Rattus norvegicus: one gene and its partners. The main gene of each other region encodes a partner of the protein of the gene in region 2 in a complex. Links are inferred from orthologs where the notes say so. Each region holds a gene or a part of one and is shown on either strand. Other genes may lie near its edges. The genes, in order: Nme5, Lrrc23, Dydc1 and Dnajb13.

The links.
Region 1: Lrrc23 (region 2) and Nme5 share a complex: the UniProt entries of both Homo sapiens proteins name them as parts of the axonemal radial spoke complex. The link is inferred for Rattus norvegicus from reciprocal best matches to the Homo sapiens genes LRRC23 and NME5.
Region 3: Lrrc23 (region 2) and Dydc1 share a complex: the UniProt entries of both Homo sapiens proteins name them as parts of the axonemal radial spoke complex. The link is inferred for Rattus norvegicus from reciprocal best matches to the Homo sapiens genes LRRC23 and DYDC1.
Region 4: Lrrc23 (region 2) and Dnajb13 share a complex: the UniProt entries of both Homo sapiens proteins name them as parts of the axonemal radial spoke complex. The link is inferred for Rattus norvegicus from reciprocal best matches to the Homo sapiens genes LRRC23 and DNAJB13.

Annotation. Positions count from the first base shown.
Region 1 is NC_086036.1:26,439,633-26,445,656, forward strand, and holds part of Nme5 (NME/NM23 family member 5), read right to left. Parts: exon of another isoform or gene 4,383-6,024; coding exon 4,264-4,382; exon of another isoform or gene 1-4,263. UniProt on the Homo sapiens protein: Functions as part of axonemal radial spoke complexes that play an important part in the motility of sperm and cilia. Does not seem to have nucleoside diphosphate kinase (NDPK) activity.
Region 2 is NC_086022.1:159,273,607-159,280,355, forward strand, and holds the start of Lrrc23 (leucine-rich repeat-containing protein 23), read right to left. Parts: upstream 4,159-6,749; 5' UTR 4,064-4,158; exon of another isoform or gene 3,576-4,063; 5' UTR 3,529-3,575; coding exon 3,397-3,528; exon of another isoform or gene 3,315-3,396; coding exon 3,205-3,314; exon of another isoform or gene 2,508-3,204; coding exon 2,254-2,507; exon of another isoform or gene 1,636-2,253; intron 338-1,635; coding exon 207-337; exon of another isoform or gene 91-206; intron 1-90. UniProt on the Homo sapiens protein: Essential for sperm motility and male fertility. Plays an important role in the proper assembly of the third radial spoke (RS3) head and the bridge structure between RS2 and RS3 in the sperm flagella.
Region 3 is NC_086034.1:16,972,366-16,978,934, reverse strand, and holds the start of Dydc1 (DPY30 domain-containing protein 1), read right to left. Parts: upstream 3,904-6,569; 5' UTR 3,657-3,903; intron 3,156-3,656; exon of another isoform or gene 2,901-3,155; intron 1-2,900. UniProt on the Homo sapiens protein: Functions as part of axonemal radial spoke complexes that play an important part in the motility of sperm and cilia. Plays a crucial role during acrosome biogenesis.
Region 4 is NC_086019.1:164,261,233-164,266,195, forward strand, and holds part of Dnajb13 (dnaJ homolog subfamily B member 13), read right to left. Parts: coding exon 4,927-4,963; exon of another isoform or gene 3,882-4,926; coding exon 3,768-3,881; exon of another isoform or gene 3,335-3,767; intron 2,082-3,334; coding exon 1,968-2,081; intron 1,473-1,967; coding exon 1,396-1,472; intron 1,011-1,395; exon of another isoform or gene 942-1,010; coding exon 788-941; 3' UTR 1-787. UniProt on the Homo sapiens protein: Functions as part of axonemal radial spoke complexes that play an important part in the motility of sperm and cilia.

The DNA of each region.
Region 1 (6,024 bases), on a different chromosome or scaffold from region 2:
TGTGTGCTGTGGTACACACAATGAGTAAGTAATAAATATGTAATTGTTATAAAAAATGTTGGGGCTGGAGACAGGGCTCGGCAGTTAAACATACTGACCGCTCTTCCAGAGATCCTGAGTTCAACTCCCAGAGTCCAGAAAAACAAACAAAATTAAAAAAGAGAGAGAGAAAGAAACTTTAATGGAGGGTGAAAGGCACACAGGGCTTACCCCTTCTAGGGATTCACAGGAAGGTAATGGTTGATGGAGAGGGAGTCACAGTGTCTTCAGTGCTGCAGTCATGGGTGAGGGAGGTACCCTTGCTCATTTAAACTAACCCTCACCAATGCTGCTGTAAACAACCCTAGTGAAACTCAGACAAAAGAAACAAAGACATGCCAGGCCAGCAGCACAGGGGTTAGCTGGAAAGAGGAAAGGAGTCGGCAGGAGTGGGTCAGAGGGATGCGCACACATTTGTGATCAGATACATTTTCTACTGTAGGCCAGCTAGGGCTAGACAGTGACCTCGTCTAAAAACCAACATTCAAGGCCAGCCTGGTCTATATCTAAAGTTCTAGGGCAGCCAGGGCTTCATAGTGAAGCCCTGTCCCCTGCCACAGACAAACAAGCAAAAGAAACCACCCAACATTATGTACATGTAAGAAAATGTCATAATATCTCATTATGTATAACTACGCCATGCTAATACAAAGAATAAGAAAATGGAATCCAGGTGTGGTGGCTCACTCCTGTAATCCCAGCACTAGGGGATGAGGGAGGTCTAGAGGCAGGAGAATAACAAGTTTGAGCCAGTCTGGGCTATATAGCAAAGTCCAAGGCCAGCCTGTGCTACATAGCAAGATCGTGCCTGAAAAAAGAAAGGCAGGCCTAGCAAGGCAAGGAAGGTAAAGTAGGAGAACCAAGACCTAAGGCCTGGGCTGGGGCGATGGCGTGTGTCCTGCTCTCCCAGAAAACCTGAGTTCAGCTCCCAGCACCCACGTCAGGCAGTGCATAGCCACCTGTACCTCTAGCTCTAGGGAAACTCACACCATCTGCCCTCCTTCTGTAAAGAAGCAAAGAAAAAAATGATTTTTTTTTCTATAAAGGGTTTAAGACAGCTTGGGCTACAGAAAGAGACCTTTCCTCAAAATTAAATAGAGTGTGTCTGAAGAGATGGCTCTGCTGTTAAGAGCACACGTTGGTTTTGTTTAGGGCCTGAGCTCCATCTCCAGCACCCATATGTCTGCTCACAGCTGCCCTGACTTCAGTCTCAAGAACCCCACGTCCTCTTCTGACTTTTCCAGCCACCAGGAAAGCATACAGTACACAGACATATATGCAGGCAAAACACTCATCCATATAAAATCAGTGAATCTAAAACTATATACTAAATAAATGACCGAAATCAAAACAGAAAACCTTGAAACTATTACTTGTGGCGGTAAAACAAGTACAGCTCAAAGGGAGAGGTGAGCCTGTCTTTGTCGTAGAAGGCAATGATCCCACAGGAACGAACTCCATCCAGAGATCAGCTACGGTTCCTCCTGCCTGTAAGCCCAGCACTCGGGAGACTGAGGTGGAGGGGCCTAGGTTCAGGGCCAGCCGGCTTTACAAAGGACTCACCCCCCAACCCCCACCTCATCTCTCTTTTTTTCTTCATTTTTTAAAAGAGATTTATTTTATTTATATAAATACCCTGTAGCTGTCTTCAGACACACCAGAAGAGGGCATCTGATCTCATTACAGATGGTTGTGAGCCACCATGTGGTTGCTGGGATTTGAACTCAGGACCTCTGGAAGAGCAGTCAGTGCTCTTAACCACTGAGCCATCTCTCCAGCGCCTGTCTTTCTTTCTGCCTCTGTCTCTCACTCACATTCATGCGTGTGTGTGTGTGTGTGTGTGTGTGTGTGTGTGTGTGTGTGTGTGTCCCACACATGTTGAACTTGAACCTGGATTCAGAGTTCCCAGACAAGGTTCCCAAACTCCTGGCAGGATGCTCTCAGCATCATGAATATGCAAATCAGCCATTGTCACATCTACTAGGGCAGCTGTTAATGAGCAAGTAAAACAATAGACACGGTGGTGCAAAGAGAAACTGGAGCCCTCACACCTTGCAAATGGGAGGGTAGAATGGAACAACCACCCGTGTAAAAGATTGGGCAGTTCCTGACAGGAACCGGACTGGAACTGAGCAGTAGCTCCAGTAACAATAACGAGCCCAGTAACTGCATTCCTATATACTGACACACAACTGGAAACTGGACTCACACGATCGAACGGGCACTATTCACCCATGGAAAGGATGGGATCGTGACACATGCTTGTCACTACTGACTGGCTAATAAAACAGTGAAATAAGCCAAACACAGGTTTATATTTTTCTGTGTTGGAAACTTGTCTTAGGGTTTCATTGCTGTGAAAAGATAACATGACCAAGGCGGCTAACTCTTAAAAAGGCTAACATTTAAGTGGGGCTGGCTTACAGTTTCCGTCTTTTATCACGGCAGGATGCATGCAGCAGAAGGGGACTGTCTTCTGCAGGCAGCCAGGGGGAAGCTCTCTTTCTGGTGCCAAGCCTCAGTCCTTTGCGTGACCCATTTAGTCCTGGGCTTTCAAGGGCCACTGAGGCTACACCTTCACCTTTCCTGGCCTCTCACAGTGTCCAGCCTCGGCTGCTCTCCATGACCCCTTCATGCCTTCAAAACCAGTAAGTACCACTGGGATGATCCTTACACATTACCAAGTCCAGCTGCAGCACAAGGCACACCATTGGCTGTGTGTGGAACATAGCTTCTTGTGCTCTCAGAAAACACTTCCCAGAAGATTGATGCTGGTTTCTTCTTAATCACCGCTAATTTCTTAGCACCAGCTGACCAGCATCAATTGACCCAGTATCCATTCTATTATTGACGGTAAAGCCAGAGCCACATGTCTCAAGCCGCCCGGGGCTGGCCTCCTTGACTATTACATCTTCACAAGTTTTCTGTTTTCAGTGATTTCCTTCGTTTCCTAAGCCTGCCTATCCTGGCTTTGTAAACTGACTTTGAACTCAGAGATCTGCATGCCTCTGTCTCCTGAGTACTGAGTGCTGTACAACCATCAGACCTCAAAGCCCCAACTCCACAATGACGCACTTCCTCTAACAAGGCTCACCTCCCCCAATAAGGCCACACCACCTAAAAGTGCCACTTCCCTTGGGCCAAGCATTTTCAAACCACCACAAAGTGAAGCCCCCACCACTTTGGCTATGCCCAGTAAGTGCCCTGCTATCACACCACACCCCTAACACCATGTGTGCTGCCGGGAAGGCATACATGCCAGAGTGCACCTGTGGAGGTCAGAGGGCAGCTTTTGGGAGCTGATTCTCTACTTACATTCTGTCCCTCCCCAGTCCCCAACACACACCATTGAGGGGGTTGTACTGGGTCTCACTATATAGTCTTGACTGGCCTGAAATTCACTGTGTGGACCAGACAAACTTCGAATTCACAGAGATCTGCCTGACTCTACCTTCTAAGTACTGGGATTAAAGGCACTGGCCACAGTGACCAGTCTACCTTTTTAAATTTTTTTTTCTTTTCTTCTCTTTTTTTTTTTTTCCGTTCTTTTTTTTTTGGAGCTGGGGACCGAACCCAGGGCCTTGCACTTCCTAGGCAAGCGCTCTACCGCTGAGCTAAATCCCCAACCTTTTTTTTCTTTTCTTTTCTTTTCTTTTTTTTCTTCGGAGCTGGGGACTGAACCCAGGGCCTTGCGCCTTTTTAAATTTTTATTTTGAGGCACTGTCTCACTAAATTGTCTTGCTTGGTTACCACAGAGTCAACACCCAAGCAAGCCTCAGAACCTGTGAGTCTTCAGACTGAAAGAATAAATATTTAAGTAGGCATGGTGGTGTCTTTAGTCCCAGCCCTCAGAAGGCAGAGGCAAGTAGATCTGTGAGAGCTTGAGGCCAGCCTGGTCTACACAGTGAGCCCTAGGACAGCCAAGACCACATAGTGAGACCCTCTCTCACAAACAAACAAGTTTACAGTTTGAAATATGAAAACCACAAACAGTAAGTATTCTCCAATGAGAATAAAAAAGTATCTTACGGGGGTTGGAGAGATGGCTCAGTGGTTAAGAGCACTGATTGCTCTTCCAGAGGTCCTGAGTTCAAATCCCAGCAACCACATGGTGGCTCACAACCACCTGTAATGAGATCTGATGCCCTCTTCTGGTGTGCCTGAAGACAGCTACAGTGTACTTATAAATAATAAATAAATCTTAAAAAAAAAAAAGTATCTTACGTAAGGATCTGCTGGCTTTTGCTTGCAAAGCTCTGTGAGTCCTTGAAGTAGGGTTGGTGCTACGTACAAATTCAAATAGTCCTTAGCAGCTTGTCCAATTGGAATGGGTTCGATAATCACTGCAAATACAAAGAAGTTCTTACTAAAAAGCAAATATAAGTGATTAAACATTATACAGCTATGAGAAAAGGGATGCCTTCAAGAGTGTATAACTGTCATGATGTGAACTTTAAATCTGAGTTTTACATCTTTACATTTATTATTAAGGTATTATAATTGATATTATTACTGGCTATCTGGTAGGGTCTCCCTGTAGTCCAGGCTTGTATAGAACTCACTAGGCTAGCATCAAACCCACAGTGATCTTCCTGCCTGGTCATCTGGATGCTGTCATAGCAGTTGTTATGCCTACACTGTACCTGTTTATTAAGGAACTATTTACACATGGTGCTTGCTAAATTTGTGATTATACAGAGAAATAAATATATTTATTTATTTTATGTATATAAATTACACTGTAGCTGTCTTCAGACACACCAGAAGAGGATGCTGGATCCCATTACAGATGGTTGTGAGCCACCATATGGTTGCTGGGAATTGAACTCAGGATCTCTGGAAGAGTAGTCAGTGCTCTTAACCACTGAGCCATCTCTCCAGCCCCCATAAATACAATTTAAAATTAAACTAAATAACAATAACCCACACACACAAGAGAAGAAGCCAATCCAAACCAATGCTGGCAGCTGCTCAGGAGGCTGGCCCAGATAAATCAAACACGCTCACAGGTGGATAGCAGGTTTGCCCGTGGATAGGACATTGAGACCTTGCCTCAAAGCAGAGGGCTGGACAAACAGGCTGCATGCAGTGCATGCCTGAAATCCCAGTGCTCAGAAGGTGGAGGAAGGAAGAGCAGTAGTTCAAGGCCAACCAAGACATACGGGCCTGTCTCAAAATAAAAAAAAGGGGGGGGGAGGAGCTCAATGGCTAAGGTCAACTTTTCTTCCAGAGGACCCCAAATTCAGATCTCAGCACCCACATAAAGCGGTTCACAACTGTCTGTAACTCCAACTCCAGGGGCCCAATGCCTTCTGGCCTCTGAGACCATCTGCTCGCATGTGGTATACATTCACATAGACATGAACAAAAATAGGATAATCTTAAAAATAACTAGGTAGGGGCTGGGGATTTAGCTCAGTGGTAGAGCGCTTACCTAGGAAGCGCAAGGCCCTGGGTTCGGTCCCCAGCTCCGAAAAAAAGAACCAAAAAAAAAAAAAAAAAAAAAAAAAACTAGGTAAATAAAGGAGGCCTAAGCAGCTCACTGGCAATGGTTTGCCTGGGACGGAGCCCTAGGTCCACCCCCCAGTACGTAAAGACAGCACACTATTCCTCTGTATGTCTGCTTTTTAAAGGCTCACCGGCTTCATGATTTCAAATTGGAGGAAATGGGAAAAGAAGTGGAATTATCATTTCCACATTGATTTATGACTTTCGTAGCTTGTTTTGTTTGGAAAAAGACAAGTTTACTGAGTGCAGAACAAAGGAGCAGTGATTGGGGCGGAGACAGAGCGCCCCCCTGCACTATTCTTGCTAATTTGTTACCTCTTCTATGCTCCACCCTCCACGTACCAACAGGTTTCTGAAGCCTCATGGGTAATTAGGAAGAATTACAACAGAAACAGAGTATCTAGTTCAGGAGAAAGAAAGAAAGAAAGGAAGGAAGGAAGGAAGGAAGGAAGGAAGGAAGGAAGGAAGGAAGGAAGG
Region 2 (6,749 bases):
TCTAGCTCTCAGCAGTCCTCCTTACCCAGCCTCCCAAGCGCTACCACTGTAAGCATGAGCCTGTACTTACTGTTTTAATTTTATGTTTCCACAGTATCAGACCCCGTGTGGGCCTTGTCACCACCACGGTGCTGAAGCTACTAGCTAAGCCTACCAGAAGCCAAGGCTGCTCCCTTCCCTGTGCCACCCGAGGACCCATGAGCTACCAGGTAGAGATTCTTTAGCTTGGGAAGGTTGATTCCTATTGTGGTTTCCAGCTGGTTCGCTCGAAGCTCCAGGGTGTGCAGGTTAGTCAGTCTTTCGGGGTCCAGACCAGTCACCTGGTGGATGCGGTTCCCTATCAGAAAAGAGGGAATCGAGATCGCAAAGGGCCATGGTGAAGGTTCAGCAGGAGACATGTTGCTTTCCCCTGACCCCGTATCTTCTCCCGCTCTGATGTGGGGTGGAAGGTGAGGGAGCTCTGAGGCAAGTAGACCTGGGTTTGCCCATCTATACTTTGAGAATGAATTGCTAATGCCTGAGCAACACTCATGGCCGACGTCCTTCTTCCCTGCATACCTTTGGTCAGGTGGCATTTCACCTAAACAACCAGTTTAAAATTGTCATTTGTGCTGGGCCTACAATTCAGACCTGTAGGCCCAGCTACTTCTACCTAGGACCCTGAGGCAGCAGAATAACAAGGCTACGGCCTTCCTGGGCTACAACTGAGTGAGTTCAAGTGCAGCTTCAGAAATTTACAAGATGCCCCTCTCCCCAAAATTAAAAGTAAATTCTGGGGTTGAAGAGATGAATTTAATGGCTCAGAGCACTGCCTGCTCTCCCAGAGGCTCTGAGTTCCATCCCTAGCAGTCACGTGGTGGCTCACATGGTGGTTTGAAATTCTTGGCCCATGGTGTCTCTTCACAGCAACGAAACCTTAACTAAGACAGAAGTTGGTACCAGGACGGGGGTGTTGCTCTGACAAGCCTGATCATGTTTTTGTTTGGAGAAATATGGACTTTGGGGCTGTCGGATATTACCATGAAGAGACACGATGACCAAGGCAACTCTTTAATTGGGACTGGCTTACAGTTTCAGAGGTTCAGTCCATTACCATGTCTGAAAGGCAGATATGGTGCTGAAGGAGCTGAGAGCTCTTGATCAGAAGGCGGCCAGGAGGAGACTCTGTATCAAACCAGCAGACTTAAGCATATATGTGAGACCTCAAAGTCCCACCTCCACAGTGACACACTTCCTCTAACAAGGCCACACCTCCTCCAACAAGGCTTCACCTCCTAAAAGTGCCACTTCCCATGGGCCAAGCATATTCAAATCACCACACCATCCATAATGGAATCCAATGCCATCCTCTGGTGTGCAGGCCTACATGCAGACAAAGCACTCATGCAAAAAATGCATAAACATGCTAACCTTTAAAAATCTTTTAAAAAATGAAATAAAAAGTCATAATAGGGCTGGGATATGGCTCGACAGAAGAGTGCTTGTTTAGCATGCACAAGATCCTAGATTCAGTCCCTTGTACCAGAAGAGAGAGAGAGAGAGAGAGAGAGAATGGCACTTGTGCATTTTACAATCTTTCTCCACTCTATTTTCTATAGAATTTACCTCCTTTTTGAGTTATGCTTTGTTCTTTAGACAGGGTCTCACCCTGCGAGCCAAGCTGACCCAGACTGCCTTTGAACGTCATCAACCCTGCTCACACCTCCAGTGTGTAGGGTCCCAGTTGTGAGCCTTCATACCCGGCTTCTATCTACTTACTATGTTGTTATCTGTTCAGCGCCCTAAACAGAGTGGACTCTACACGAGAATAGAGACTTCTGGCTTTGTTCAGTCAGCATCTCCAGCATAAAGAATCTTATGAGAGGCTGTAGAGATGACTCAGTGGTGAAGAGCCCTGGTTGCTTTTTCAGAAGACCCAGGTTCGGTTCCCAGCACCCACATCAGGCAGATTCCCCAGAAGCTGACATTTTCTTCTGGTCTACACAGACACCTGCATGTGCCCATGTACATGTAATTAAAAGTAAATTTTTAAAAAAGAACGCAATTAATTTTAATAGGCCTCTGTTTTCAGCTAGGCCCTGTATAAGTATATAGACAAGGCTTTACCGCTGCGTCAAAGTCCCGGCCCAGCACGTGTCTTAACCAATGAATGCCTGTATACAGATGGCTGTGTGGCTCATAGCATATACTGCCTATTTCTGTCAGCTCCATGCAAGGAAGGGAAGTTCTGTGTGTGTCTTCCTAAGAACCCACCTTTGAGATCCAGGCTTCCCAGACGGGGATGGATGATGCCTTCGGTGTCTGTGATCTGGTTGTAGGAGAAACTGGCGATCTGCAGGTAGGGCAGTTCGTTCAGCCGGGCGCTCCGGAGCTGATTGCCGTCTGCCTTGAGCCACAGTAGGTGAGTGAGACTGTTGAGTGGTGACATGTCTGTGATATGGTTCTCAGAAATATCCACGTAGCGGAGGTGGATGTAGGAGCGCAGTAAGGAGATGTCTGTGAGGTCCCTAGGAGATTGGGGGGCCAGGAGAAGATCCACCATAAAGGATAAGAACATTTGTGCTAGGCCTACTAGTTCAGACCTACAGACCCAGCTACTACTACCTAGGACCCTGAAGCAGCAGAATAACAAGGCTGTGGCCTTCCTGGGCTAAAACTGAGTGAGTTCAAATGCAGCAAGAACAGAGATGTTCGGACAGAGAGCAACGCAGAGATAGCTTGTACTGGATGACGGAGAGGGAAGGGAAAGAAGAGGCAAGTGGGGTTTTTCTTCTTGTTTTTCAGTGCAGAGATCAAAACTAGTACCTTGCCTCCTAACCACTAAGCTACATCTCTGAGACTCCACTATGAAAGGATGCCAGAGCTTCCCACGGAAGTTTTTTTTTTTTTTCCAGAGCTGGGGACCGAACCCAGGGCCTTGCGCTTGCTAGGCAAGCGCTCTACCACTGAGCTAAATCCCCAACCCCCCACGGAAGCTTTAATGTGTTGTCTTGGCGCTGGGGGGTGAACCCGGAGCCTTGTGTATTCTAGGCAAGCTCTCTACTGCTAAGTCACCCTCCCAGTCACCAAAGAGTCCCGGAAGTTCTGAAAAGCAAATCCCCACCATTTCTTCCCATCAGCTTGGGACCAGAGAGAGAGCTCTAGCCAAAACACTCAGGAGAGAGAGAGGGAAGGCACGTGATGCTCCCGTCTCTCAGTCCTCACCTGTCCTTAACCTCCAGCTTAATATAAGCGTGAGCCAGTCCACTGCCAATCTTGCAGAGTAATGAAAGCCCTTCCTTCATCATGGCCTCCGTGAGGGGGGTGGGCAGCCACTGCAAGAGGTGGGTAATTCAGGCATCCCTTTGCAGTCCCCCTCTAGTCCTGAGCCCGGGGAGCCCTGGTCCCGGCTCTCACTTCCTCAGAGACTTCTTCCCCCTCCTTCCTGTAGTCGTCTTCCCAGTCCTCCATCTCATTGTCATCCTCTTCTTTTTCCACTTCATCCGGCTCCTGATCAAAGTCATCTTCCACATCATCTTCATCCGACATCTTTCTCTCCCCTGCGCTCCGGAGTCAGACGAAACTCAGTCCTGGTCCTAAGAAAGGAGGTCTTAGCTCCCACGCCCACCAGCCCTCCAGTCCCTCACATCCACTTACGGGTACCCTACACATACAGCCTCTGTCACCTCTGAACTCCCAACTGCATATCTTTCCTCATGTTGGAGAGCGTCTTTGGACTCCCAGTCTCTGCTTGGAGCCCCCCGCCCCTCCCCCCGCTCCCGGCTCCCTTCGGGACACTTTCCCACACTCCCAAACTGTTCCTGCCTTTCCTTGCCTCCAACTCTGCCCCAGCAGCCCAGCGTCCTCCTTCCTGAATTCCCTTTAATCCAGTTCTACATGTCCTCCTAAAATCTCCCCTACCAACTCCTTCTCCCCTTCCTTACCCACACCTCACTTCCAGGTTCTCTTCCACCCCCAACCCCTATTCTTCTAATGCGATCTCCCTGCTTAACACCACCATTTCCCTGACACGATAACGTCTTCAACCCTCCAACCCAGTTCGCCTTCAGAAGTGGGAGCAGACCCTGACTCTGCTCCTCTAGAAGTAGTTATGAAGAAGATCTTTGTGCTGAGAGGCCAGGACTGTTTTTTTCGGAAGACGCAACGGGGTAGCAGGAGTTATATACTGTTGTTATGGCAACGGGGGCGGGATGCTTAGCTTTGCAGCCAGCTTCCGTTGAGAGCCTGGAGCACCTCAACCGCAAAGCACAAACCCTAACGCCCCTATTTCCACCCTCAGCGGGTAGTGCAGTGGTTGCCAGGTTACGAGGCCAAATTCCTAATCCCAGGAACCTGGAGGAGGCGAGAAGAGAGTGTCACGGACTTAATTGTCGGGGGACATAAAACAATGGTCTAATTATAACAGCAGCGCTGAGAAGCGGGAGGGAGGCTGGGCTGGCCTTTAAGTCCTTAAAGCAACTAGATGTCTGGATGCAAAGGAATTGTAGACCATCCCTAAGAAGCAAAAGGGGGATGGATGAGAGGAAAGACACTAAGAGAAGCAAGAAATACTACGTTATGGGATTTGTTGCTGGTCGGGTTTGGCTCATTATTTATTGGAAGGTCTTGGAAGGTGGACTGGTGGAGCAAACTGCTTTAAGACCCAGCTTGTGACCCCGGCGACTCCCTCTTGCAGGTGATGGAGAGATGGCTCAGCGATTAAGAGCACTGGCTGTTCTTCTAAAAGATCTAGCTCCATTCCCAGCACCCACATACCATCTGTAACTCCTGCTCTAGAGAGATCTGACGCCCTCTTCTGACCTCTACTTGCACAGAACAGGCACATGGTGCATGAATGTATGTATGCAGGCAAACGAGCATACATATAAAATAAATTATTAATAAATTAATAAATCTAAAACAATAAAGTCCGACTTGGAGTCGGTTTTTTTTTTTCTTTTTTTTTCGGAGCTGGGGACCGAACCCAGGGCCTTGCCCTTGCTAGGCAAGCGCTCTTCCACTGAGCTAAATCCCCAACCCCCCCCCCCCCCCGACTTGGAGTCTTGGCAGTTCTGCAGTTTACTAGCAGCTATCTAGAATTCTGTAGAATAAACGTAACTTTAACAACTGAGCAGAGTCTGCTGAGTTACTCTGGGTCTTTGCTGTGGCTGCTTTTGCTGTGAAGCAGTCTTTCTATGTAGGCCAGGCTGTCTCAAAGTCACTCCTTTCCCAGCCTCCTAAGTGCTGGGATTACAGGTGAGGGCTACCACACCCAGCTAGCACTATCTTGTGGAATCTAAGGAAAAGAGAACACTTAATACAGGAAGACATGGGACTAATTGTTACATGCTTTATATAAAATGCAAATCGGAGGCCAGAGAGATGGGTCAGTGGTTAAGGACCTCGTGTACTTGCAGGGGACTCAGGCTTGGTTTTTGGCACCCACAAAAGGTGACTCACCACCATCTATAACTCCATCTCTAGGGGATCCAATGTCTCTGGCCTTCACATACATACCCCGCCACACACACACACACGCACACACGCACACAACCATACACTTAGTTAAACTAGTCTTTTTAAAGATTGCCACGTGGTCTGATGGAATATGTGTGGGCTGAAAGTTAGGAAGTGTTCCTTTGGATCAGTCTGGCTTGAAGAACATAATAGACAAATCTGTTCTATTGGTGTCAAGGAATGGGGGCTCTAGCAACAGCACTGGGTTTAAAGTATAAATACTGGGTTCCAAATGGCTCTATCACTCTATAGCTGTGTGTTCGTCAGCCTAGATTACCTAAAGATATATTGCTGAATTATGCAGGGTAGCACACAGCCGTAAACGGCAGCTCTCTGTTGAAGCAGGAGAATGTTCCAGGCTAGCCTGGGCTACTTCAAAATGAAACAGCGCTCACCTCAAAGGAACAGAGAATTTCCAAAAACAATATAAGTGGCTTTGTACTTGATTGACCCTTAAGTAAACAAATCCCTGCCCCTGCCCCTGCCCCTGCCCCTGCCCCTGCCCCTGCCCCAGGATTCTCAGTTCTGAGGCTATCGTGAGGAGAGAAATTAAAAATGATATTTTGAGACAGAATTGTCATTGTGTAGACCAGGATGGCCTGGAATGAACTGTGTGACCCAAGCTGGCCTCAAATGCACAGCAACCTTGCCCCAGCCTTCCAAGTACTGGAATTAGAGGCAAAAAGAGTAATGTTAATGTACTCCAAATGCCGGAAGTGCTTTGCATGTGGAAGTGTGTTAAGTGACACAGTCCTGTAATCGCAGCACTTTGTTGCTGAGGCAGGAGGATTGAAGTTTTCGTGAGCAAGAAAACCCACCAATCCCTGAAATTCCCACAAAACCCACCAATCCCTAAGCAGGAACACCTACCAATTCCTGAACAGGGAAAACCATCCATTTCTGAGCTCCCCAAGATCAGAACTTGAAATCCCACCAATCCTCAATCTGGAAATCTCTGCCCTGAAGGTCTCCACCCCCAAGAAACCCTATGTAAACCCTGCCTTTTGTCCAATTCCCTGCTGTGCACTCCTGGGAGCAGAGGGTAGTCATCCCTGGATTCGTCCCTCCACTTCCTGGACCCTCCAATACATTTCTTTTGTGAGATTTGCTGGCTGGTGTGACTCTCTCAGCGGAGCCGAGAAGCAATGAAGAGCAGACGGGGAGAGGTGGAGTGGGGCTGGGACTCCTGAGCTCCTGAGCTCAGCTCCCCTGAGAGCTGCACCTCCCTCTGTTGAGGAGACATCCTCTCAGAG
Region 3 (6,569 bases), on a different chromosome or scaffold from region 2:
TTAGAGATGTACTTGTCTCAGTGTCCTGAGTTCTGGGATTATAGGTATGTACCATCACACCTGGACCTAAGCTTTCCTTTACTTAGAACTTGCTCCGTAGCAGACTGACCTTGAACTCAGGTATCTGTCTCTCTGTCCTCTCTTCTCTTCTCTTCTCTTTTCTCCTCTCCTCTCCTCTCCTCTCCTCTCCTCTCCTCTCCTCTCCTCTCTTCTCCTTTCTCCTTCTTCTCCTTTCTTCTTCTTCTTCTTCTTCTTCTTCTTCTTCTTCTTCTTCTTCTTCTTCTTCTTCTTCTTCTTCTTCTTCTTCTTCTTCTTCTTCTCTTCCTCTCTCTCTCTCTCTCCCCCCCCCCCCCGCCCGGGATTAAAGACATGTACCATAATGCCTGGACCTAAGTTTTTCATGGTCACTGTTCCTCAAGATCTGGATCAAAAGCATGTGTCATTCTACATCAAGATCCGAATCAAGCCTGTCTCTTCCAACCTTAAGACATGGATCACAGGTGTACTCTCCATTTCTGGACTGTAGTTCATTCTAGACTAAAAGTCAAAATGAAAACAATAACCAGGTAACAATACCTAACGTGATATATAACTATTCCTTGTCCAACTGCAAACACATAAACAATAAGCTTAGCTGGGTGGGATCTTGTCCTGAGGTCACCACTCCCTTAATCTATTTAATATACTTGAACGCAGGATTTCATTCCATTGCACTTCCTGGTGCCCATTTATTATTTGAACCATACATCTTGTAGTTTTTCTTTTTAGGCTTGCTATGCTTAATCAGAGCAATCTTCATGACAGTAATCCAGAGGACAAAGTCTATGCTGGGTGTTCCTGAGACTTTCTTTATCAGTGTGATTAATCTGAGTCCTTTCACCTGAGTCTCAGACAGACTCTTCAGACAAGGGAAAAGAGCAGCAACATTCTTCACCAAAGCATAAGAAAGATCTCCAGAGTTCAAATCACCAATATCTTCTATATTCCTACTAGGACGAACCATTAAGCCTCACTTGAAGCATTCCATGGCTTTCCAAATCCAAAGTCCCAAAAGCCACATTCCTCCAGCCAAAACCATGGTATCACAGCGATCCTCAGTCTCTGGTATCAGCTTCTGTGTTAGTCAGTGCCCGTGACCAAGGCCACTATTATAAGGACAACACTTAATTGGGGTTGGCTTGCATTTTCAGAGTTTCAGTTCATTATCCATAAAGCAGGACCATGGCAGTATCCAGGCAGGCATTGCAGGAGAGAAGCTGAGAATTCTACATCTTAATGTGAAGGCCTCCAGGAGAAGATTGGCATCCTCCTCAGGCAGCTAGGAAGAAGCTCTCAAAGCCCACTTTCAGAGTGACGCACTTCTTCCAACAAGGCCACACCTCCTAACAGTGCCACTCCCTGGACCAAGCATATTCAAACCACCACAGCTTCCCTTAAGACTCACCTCAAGCACGTCCCTGTCATCATATATCCTGGGCTCTTACCCCACTGAATATCCTGCCATATTCTAGCTATCACACTGTGCTTTCCCATCTCAATAATCCTTTCCTCTCTACTCTTGGAACATACCTCCTCCTTCGAGCCACAGATCATGTCTGGCTCTGGAGTTTTGTCAAGCAGTACAAGGGAGTTTCTCCTACTTCAAGTAGCTCATACAGCCCTTGTCATGCTGCCTACAAAGTGTATAAGAGAGTGTTAGTATGTGTGTGCATGCATGCGCATGTGTGTGCCCTGCTGTCTCTCCATGGTGGCAAGTAATCAAACGTGTGCCTACTCTCAGCTGTTCCCCAGTCTTTTCAGGTATGAAGGCAGATACGTGAGTATTTTTTAGGGTGACTATTTCTATTTATAGTTATATAGGATAACAGACCAAACAAATGATCCCACCCAAGCCCAGAATTGTGACCCAATGAGATTAAAAGACCAGAATATGTTCACCATTGCAGTTCTCGACTCCTGTCTCAAAGGTGCAGACTCAAGACTGGAGTGACATGTGAACGTGGTTATTCACACGTTATTATTATAGTCAGACTGAAAGTGCTGTCTGAATGTCCTGGCAGGGGATCAATTACATACAACACCATGGAATCCAGCCACAATATAAGGGGCTGGAAATGCTCTCTAAAATAGGCAGTGGTTTCCTAGTGAGGCACAATGCAGGAGGAAAAGGGAGATGTAGAAATTGCTCCTGCTTCCAAAGGAATATACACGTGTATGTATAGTGTAGCCCTAAGAACGACTGGAGCTGGCACAAATACGCTGATTTCCAACTAGATTGGCACTGGTGTCCTAATCACAGAGAGACAAACACGGCAACTGACTGGGCTGTGTCTTCACGGTGCTTCTTCTGTGGGAAATTCTCTATAGATAAGATCACCACATGGACGTATCAGTGTCATTTATATACAACATGGAATACACTCTTCCTGCTGCTCCAAAAACATAGGATCTGGGGCTCTGGCAGCTGCTTAGCGTTCTCCGTGGGGCTTTCATGAGGTCCCTCTGTCATCTCTGCAACATACATTTCCTGGTCAGGTTAGGAAACTACTAGCCATCTCTTCTGTCCTAAGAAGTGTTATTTCCCAGCAAACACCAGTGCTCATCCAGCTTCACAGAAGAAAGTCCGCTCCCACAGAAACATCTGGAGCAGCTGCTCTGAGACAATGGAGGAGGTTCTCTGCCAGGACCTGGGAAGAGTGCTGGATTCGGCACTCAAAACCACCGCAGACCTAATTTCTGAGAAACAATGAATAATTGTCTTATATATATTTGTGCTAGCAAGTAACCTGCTTATCTAAAAGTAAATTTCAATCAGGCAGCCACCAACCTAGACACTTAGATTAGTTTTCCTATTGGGTGGCTAGAGGGCGGGAGAAGGAGGGGGGGAGGAAGAAGAGAAAGAGGAGGAGCCGGAAGAGAGGAGGAAGGAGAAGGAGTCCTTGCGCTCCAAAGGCTCTTACAGGAGAACTAACCCTCCCTCGGATTCTGAGTTGAGACCTACTTGACTCTCAAGGTGAAAATTTTAGAACTGCTTCTGCAGAGACACTAGAGGGCCGGTTCGAAGGAAAACGCTCCAGCCTCCTTGGTGCACGCATCCGATGCACGTTCTGGCCACACGCCAGTGAGTCGCGTCCCGTTGCCTGGCAACGAGAGCACGCTCTAGTGTAGAGCTAAGGTTCCATTGCAGCCCAAGTAGTGGAGGCAAAGGGAAATGAAAGGAGAATTCGCACTCTAGGGGAGGGGGTGCACTCTCGATAGAGCCAGGAACGCGCACTGTAGGGGAGGGGGCACGCAGATGGGAGAACCAGATTTATGGGAAAGGAAACACTGTGGAGAAACAGCGGGAGGAACCCAGCAGACACGGGGACTCTTCTTAGATAGGAGCCTTGTGGAGCAGCAGATCTTTGAAGTCAGGAGAGACACTTTCAAGGCTGCAGGCTTGTTGGCTTGGTAATTTTAAGACCTTTCAGAGTGAACTCACGGGCTGGAGAGATGGCTCAGCCGTTAAAGGCTAGGCTCACAACCAAAATATCAGAGTGAACTCACACACAAGCAACTTCAGCTAGCCCAAAGACACCCTCCACCAGGCTCTAGCTTGCACTCTCCCCTGGTGTGCGTGGTTAGTTCTTGTCAATGTGACACAAACCTAGATATACCTGGGGGCAGGAAATCTCAAATGAAGAATTGTCTCCATCAGATTGACTCGTGGGCGTGTCTGGGAGGCATTTTCTTGGTTGCTAATTATGGGCATATGTCCACTATGGGGAGTGCTTGTCCCTGAGAAGGCAGGCTTGGGCTGTGTAGAAAAGGTAGCCGAATCAGCCAGAGAACGAAAGCCTTCCTTTCATGGTTACTGTTTCACGCTCACTCTCCCATTGCGTTGCTGGCTTGGCTTTCCTTGATGATAGACTGAGTGTAATCTGTAAACCAAATAAATTCTTCCCCCCTCCCCCCGGGTCATAGTGTTTACCAGAGCAACAAAAAGCAAACAATGGGCCTGGCATTGCTCGGTGGTAGAGGCTTGCATAAATGCAAGAAGGGACGCTGATGGATCAACAGAGTCTGAGCCCTTCCTTTGCCCACCCGCCCCCAACATCAGAGCACTCAGACATCTTTACTCGGTACTGAATGTGGGACAAGTGCCAGGGGTGGTATCCTCAGAGGGCTTGTCGCGTTTAAGCAGTGCAGCAGTCACTCAGTAATCCAGGCATGGAGAGACGCTCTGGCAGTGCATTGGTGATTCTGTGCTGGGATTCTACGAGAATAGCGAGAGGATCAGTGACTGGGGGTTGCACTGGGGATTTCGTCGAGCCACACATATATTCAATCTAAGATATCGGAAGTTGCACTTCACCAAACAACAACTCCTCGTCCGATCACATGAAGCAGCAGGGATGTGGAAAACTTAATCCACACAAACCCTTCTGTATGTTCCGTTTCCCTGTCTTCTGACTTCTAGAAGCTGTCTCTGGACATGATCTTGACTTTCATGCTCCTTCTTCCATGTGTTTTGTCACTCTGCCACCCTCCACGTCTGGCCTTACTGACACCTCTGGCAATTACAGCTGTGCCTATGTGGCGCTTTCCGTGAGAATGAGCCCGAGAGGCTCAGATATTTGAATGCTTGGTTGACAGTTGCTGCAACTCTTTTGAAAGGCTTCGGAGATGTCTTGTTGGAGGAGGTGTGTCACTGGGGGTGGACTTTGAGGTTTCAAAAGTCCACAGCAGGCTCGCTCTGTCTGCCCCTACCTCCAACGTGAAGACAAGCTTTTGAGAACTGTTCCAGCACCGTGCCTGCTTGTGCCCATGCTCCCAATCCCATGGCGGCTGTGATTCCCCCTCTAAAACTGCAAAGCTTCAAGTTAAGTGCTTTCTTTTGTAAACCGTCTTGATCGTGGTATCTCTTCACCACCAATAGAAAAGTAACTGAGAGGTCCCGCTTGTATAACACACACTCCTTATTTAAGATCCTTAATCACAATTCCAAAGCCCCCTTTATCATACAACATAACATCCACAGGTTCCGGGTTTGAGATTATGGGTTCCTGTGGAAGCAAAAATGTAGCACTGGAATAAGCCTTCAAGATGGCTCCTGTGTCTACATTGTCAGAGTCTTACTTCCTGGCATAATAAACTGTCTCTGGCTGCTTATATTTTTTTTTGCCCCAACCCTGGAGCCAAACTTTTCCTTAAGGATCTACGATCCCTTAATTCATGAACAATATTTAATCCCCCTTTGCAGCTGGGTATGGTGGTGCACACCTCGCATCCATCACTGGGAAGGGATCAGCAGGAAAAAGCATGTTCAACCATGGTGGGCTACCTAGGGAGTTGCTGGCAAGCCTAGCACAGTGAAACCCCGCCTCATGGAGAAAAACAAAGAAACAAAGAGTGCTGGCAGCATTCACTGCTCCTGGGGTATTTGCGATTCTAGACTCTGATATCAGTGAGGGGTAAAATGTATTTATATTTTCTATACCAATGTCTAGTTATTCAGTCGTGAGCTGAAAAACTGGGAATATGGAGGCTTGGTGCTAGGAACATATGTTGACAAAATCTTGTTCCGTAATAGCTCCTGTTTCTTAAATTCTTGCTGTATGCCAGGCTCAGTGCCTTTCACGTGATCAGTAGCTCCATTCGCTCCTTCCATATTGTGAGGTATGTATTTTACTTCTGTTTTCTAAAAGGTGCCAAGACTCTGAGACACCAAGCAACTTGCTGACGAGCACACCGCTGTAAGTGGCAACACCAAGACGTGGGCTGTCTGGTGCAGGTCTCTGTGCTGCTGTGGCTCTGCTCTGGTACTGCAACTTCTGTGTCAGACGACATTATCTGCCACTCTTGACACCTATTAGGAAATGCAGGATCATCCGCTCTCCCTAAAGCCGTGCTGTGGTATTGCATGTCAGATGAGGCTTGGCAGGCCCATCATTTGCAGGCCCATCATTTTCTTCCTCCTTCTCTCTCCCTGTAAAGTAAATGAGCCTCTGCTGTCTATGTCATAGAATAGCTTCCAACCTCACAATAGCACAGCTTGCTGTATACACAGAGTTTCTCTCCAGGGCCTTATTTTCTCTGTACTTAAGAGGGAATATTGTGTGGGTTGGTTAAAAGTCTTCAGCACCCTTGACTAATAATGAGCCAGGCCCTTTCAACACTGATGACCACTGGGACTCCTGGTCTGACGTATTCTAGCTGAAAAGCTGAAGAAGCGGGCTTGAACGTAACAGCGATCGGCAAGGGTGATTTGGTTGGTTATTCTAAGAAAGGTAATGTTACGGTTTGCATCTTTTAAGTGACCCCCAAAGTCTTGGTTGCCAGTCTGTAGTTTTAGCTCCAAATGAAATCACAGTTCCTCAAACTCCAGAAGGCAGTCCGAGTATCCAGAAATGGGTCCAGCTTGAACTATAGGAGAACTTGTGGTGCTTGTTAAGAGCCAGCATGCTGCAGGAACTTGTGAAGCCAAAGCCAATTCCTCTCTACCAAAAAAAGTATGTTCCCTTATCACTGGCAGAATGTGGTGCCTATTAGCATACCAAAGTGCATACTGGCCTCCAGGCTCCCTCAGT
Region 4 (4,963 bases), on a different chromosome or scaffold from region 2:
CGTGGGTGTGGACCCAGAAGCTGGACCTCCTCCAGGTCACCGGGCAATGATGCCGTGGCTCTCTATAATCTAACCATGAGCGTTTTCACACCAATGACCCCAGTCTTCTACCTGTAGGCAGGTTGTAAGCTTCACCAACAAGGTCAGTAGTCTTGACAACAAGGTCAAGAGTCAGGTCGTCAAGGGCCCATGCCTCCCAGACTGCTGGCCCAGAGGCAGCTTAAAACTCATTTCATAGACGAGGAACCAAAGCAGAGGTGGAGGCCAGAGCCCTTCTGGCACTGTGCTGTGGGTGTGGCTCTTAACTGAAGCTTGTGAGCCTAGATGGAGTGGCCTAGGGTTCTGATGGCTGCTTAGCCACGGACACAGGAGCGCCGGGACAGCCGCTGCCTCTTCCTGTGCTTCACTTTCCCTGTCCGTAGTTCTCAAGACAGCACAGTCCACAGATGGTTCCTCTAAAGATATATGTTGTGAGACGTCAAGACAGAAGGACCCTGGAGGTCACACAGCCCTGTCTGGTGTTGCAAGAGACTCTGAAGTCTCAGTGAACAAGTCCATGCCTAGGAAGCCAAAATGGGGCCCCAGGTGCCTAGCTTTTTGGTTCCTAGAGGTAACATCCCCCCGACTCGCTTCCCGTCATAGTTAGAGGATAGGAAAGGAATCTTTATTATGTCAGCCTAAGATCTCGTGCTTCCCCATCTTCACAGGCTGTGGGGGCTGAGGGGGTAGGAGCGGGCAAGGCCCAGCTAGCCCTCTCCATCCCTGTTCCTGCTCAGGTCCCCCGGAATTAGGTCAGCAGTGCCTGGCGCAGCATCTGCTTCTTCTGGGGTGTGAGACGGGTGGGGAACTGGATGTCGAAGAAGATGAAGAGGTCTCCCTTCTTGGTGGGGTCCTCAGGCAGCGGCATCCCCTCACCTGGCACCATCTTGAAGTACTTGGGGCTGAGACAGAAAGAGAAGAAAGGAAGGAGCATAGAAGACTCACAACACTCCTGGAAATCCTTGCTCAAAGTGAGTACCCTCCTGGCTGGTCCCCCGCCCCCCGGGATTGCACAACTCTCCCTAGGATTCGAGGCCGACCTGGGGTGGGAGTCAGACCTTCGCTTCTCTGAGACTTTTCTTGGAACAAGACTTGGGAGCTACTGCTCCATGCTCTGATGAAGATTTTGGGGATGGAGACAAGAGATGGACCAGCACTGGGCTTCTCGGGCCTATGCAGGGGCTTCCCATGGGTTAGAGAAAGGTGATCCCACCATAGGGTGAACACAGCCCGTGGCTCAGGCAGAGGCCAGTGGATTTGAATCCTAGCCTGGGTTCCCAGGGTTCCCTGCACAGCCCTGCCAAGTCTTAGTCCATCTTCTCTGTGGCTACTTGGGGACTAGGCAGACAGACTCACTGGACAATGTCGTTGATGGGGATGTTGAGCAGCCGGTCATCAAGGGTCTTCACCTCCACAGTGCAGCAGGTAAGGGCCTGAGGGTGGGGGAGGTTAGAGTGAGAGAGAGGTCTACAGGGCATCACTGCAGCCATTCTATTTAGAAGGTGTCTGGGAGTCTACCTGGGTTCCAACCCTGAGCTAGGCAGTTCCGTGATGACAGAGTGTAAGGCTTTTGAGAGGCAGGGGTGACAGGCTCTGAATGCTGCCACACAGTAGGGGCAGCAGCTCTAGGGTGAGGTGGGCAGGTGTCCTCACCCTGAGACCTGAAGTGCAAAGAATGAGTCAACGGGGGCACCTTGAGGAGAACCACTTGGACATGTTGAGAGCCTGGGGACAGCAGCAGGACCAGGACAGGGTGGGAAGATGAGATGGGGAGGGGCTGTCCCACAGATCCAACTAATGCCAGGGAGAGAGATATAGGGCCCTGCCTGTGACTGCAGAAGTTGGTTAGGGGAGAAGAGATGGAACTGAGCTGCTGCAGGTGGGGTTCACTCTGGGCCCCCATGGCCTTCTGCGCTGTACCCACTCACCTTGCCCAAAGGAATGGGGTACACAAAGAAGAGGTTGTCCTGCTCCCTGCGGAAGCGAGGGTGCAGCTTCTCCTTTACGATGAAGATAATATCGGCCGGGATAATGTTGGGGCCCTAGGCGGGGAAAGCCAAGGGGTAACGGGTTTATTGCTTATATGATTTGGCCACATTTCTGTCTCTACTTGTCTCCAGGTCCTCACTGTGCAAGGAGAACTAGGCCCAGTTTTCTAGAGGGAGCATTCAGTGTGGCCTAGGGCCACCCTCTAGAGAAGCTTCCCTAGATCAAAATCACTTCCCACTCCCAAAGCACTTCTCTACTGAGCATGCTCAAAGTAAGTGTTCTCAGTAGTGTGGGGCAGGGACTTCCGCAAGTGATAGCTAGACCCTGAGCTGGGGTCAAACAGCTGCTCTGCCTAACAGAAACTCAGCAGTGATCTCTTCGCTTCAGTGAGCTGCCTCAACTCTGACCACTGAAGACAGAGAGCAAGAGCAGCTGCTGTTCCCAGGACAAGAAATAGTCAGATGGTCAGAAATTGCCTTATAGTCAAAAATTGTAAGCTCAAAGCCCAGATGAAGGGAGGGCCAGAGGTTAGGCTCTGAGGAGGCCCTGGGCCATGCCAAGGTTGGGAAAAGCTGGCCAGAGTGGAGGATGTTGGCACTGAATATCTATTTGCTTGCCTGTCTTCTCGCTTACTTATGACAGGGTCTCACTCTGTAGCCAGACTAGCCTGGAATTCGCTATGTCACCCAGGTTGAACTCAAACTCCTAAGGCTCAAGTGATCCCCTGCCTCAGCCTCCTGAATTGCTGTGGCTCGCAATGGCCCAGGTTGAAGCATGATTGTTGGAAGCAGGTGTTTTCCACGTAAGAAAGGGACAAGTGGGGGCAAGAGAATCCATCTCTCTCAGCTCTGAGCTGGCCATTACTGTTTCTTGTCAACATGTAAGCACTTGGGATCCTTGTACAATAACAATGTTTCCACAGGTATTTTAGCTTAATATTGTTATTAATTAAATGCTTCTGAACATCTTTCTCCTTGCACCAAGGAAAGACACTGGAAGGGAAGCTGAACTGAGTTCTCCCGCCAGGGGTGTGTGTGTGTGTGTGTGTGTGTGTGTGTGTGTGTGTGTGTGTGTGTGTCCCACTGTGTGTGTGTTCCTCTGTCTCTGTCTCTCTCTGTCTCTGTCTCTCTGTGTATGTGTGTTCCTCTGTGTGTGTTACACTGTGTGTGTGTTCCTCTCTGTCTGTGTGTATGTGTGTATATGTGCACACGCGTGTTTCCTCTGTGTGAGCACAGGCCTATATTCATGTATGTGCTGGCGGAGGCGACAAATTGACACTTGCTCTCCATCTTATTTTTTGAGACAGGATCTCTCCTGACCCAAGAGCACATCAATTCAGACTGGCTGTTCAGTAAACCCCAAGATCCTCTGTCTCTGCCTCTCCAGCACTGGTATCACAGGGGCTCTGCCAATGGCGCTGGGGACCAAGTCCAGGTCTCCATCCCTGGGTGGTATTGGGTCATCTCCCCAGGCCCTTCTTTCAGCCTTTTGTGTTCATATCTTGAGCAAGTTTCTTCCATCTCGGACCTCAGTTTCCCACTGTGGAAAATGGTAGTGATCTCCAAGCTGAGCTCACAGAAGCATTGGGATGCTCTGTCCCTGGGAAGGGGCTCTGGGGACCACCTAACTCTAGACCAAAACTTGTAGGAACAGGAAAAAAATGTGTTCCTTCCCTCTCGGTCCCCCCACTACCTGAACCTGGTGACTGACTGCCCCGAGCCAGCTTCTCTCCCTCTCACCTGGTCCCCTTCCTTCTCAAAGGTGATGCGCGTGCCCTGCCTCCACCCAGGCCTCACATCGATGGTCAGGATCTTGTCCTTGATGGTAGAGGAATACCCATCTTCATTTAGCACCTACGGTGACAGGGGTAGGGACGGGGAATTGTCTCAGGGGAAAGGCCCTGTAGGGTGTACTCTGTACCCATAGTAATGGGGGACTAGAGTCATTCCCACTCCCATCCCACTGTCACTAGATTTAAGAGCTTGTGACTCTCCAAGGCAAGGCATGTCCTCAAGTTGATGAAGCTGTGGCCTGAGACACCAGTCACCACAAGTGCTGGCCACCAACAAAAACATAGTGAAAGTTTCCTATCTCCAAATCCCAGAAGTCTGGCCCTAATCCCAACGTCCTCCCTATCCTACACTAGGCCCCACTACCCCTCAGTGTCTATTACAAGATCACTAGAGACCCCAGACTTCGGTTTCTAGGAAGTTACTGGTTCATATGAAGAAAGAGGGGGCTGGTCACAAGCATGCAGTGGACCTCTCAGAAGGCAAAATACTGAGCCTCATGCAAAGCATCCCTTCCCCCACCCCTCCATTGTGCCTGCAACCCCATGAGCTCACAGTGCCACCTTTGGACAGCATGGCCACAGTGGGTATCTCCCCCAGGCAAAGGGGAGGAAGAAGGCTGAACCACAGGCCATAGTCAGGTCAGTCCAAGGACTACTACTACTCACAGCAACTACTCACAAGGGTCTTCGCTAAGCTGTCGCCTTAGAGACTGTGCTGCCCACCTCCATGCCCACCCTGTGGCTGAGGCACACAGTCCTTGGGGTGTGGTCTGTAATGCCCTGGAGTGAAATGAATGGCAGATTCTTTCTACTCCCACTCCTCCGCTTTCCACTAGGGTGGCTGGACTGGGAAGGGAGAGACCCTGTTCCCATTAGATAGATGCAGAAGGGACTTCTGTACCAGAAAAAAAGGCTGAATCTTTATATTATTCATTCAAATTTCGATTCTAAAGTCTAAAGTCTAAAATTGCTGAGTCTTTTGACCTAAGAGTTTCATGATTCCATCAGAAAAGGTTGCCAAGTTTTCCTGTTGGGGGAGGGGGACCTGCCAGGGAGGTTTGTGGAGGTAGATGGTGCCTGGTAAGGGGAGCCAGCCTAGTACTCACCCTTCGGGAGATCTTAATTTTTTTGGTGCAGCCAAAG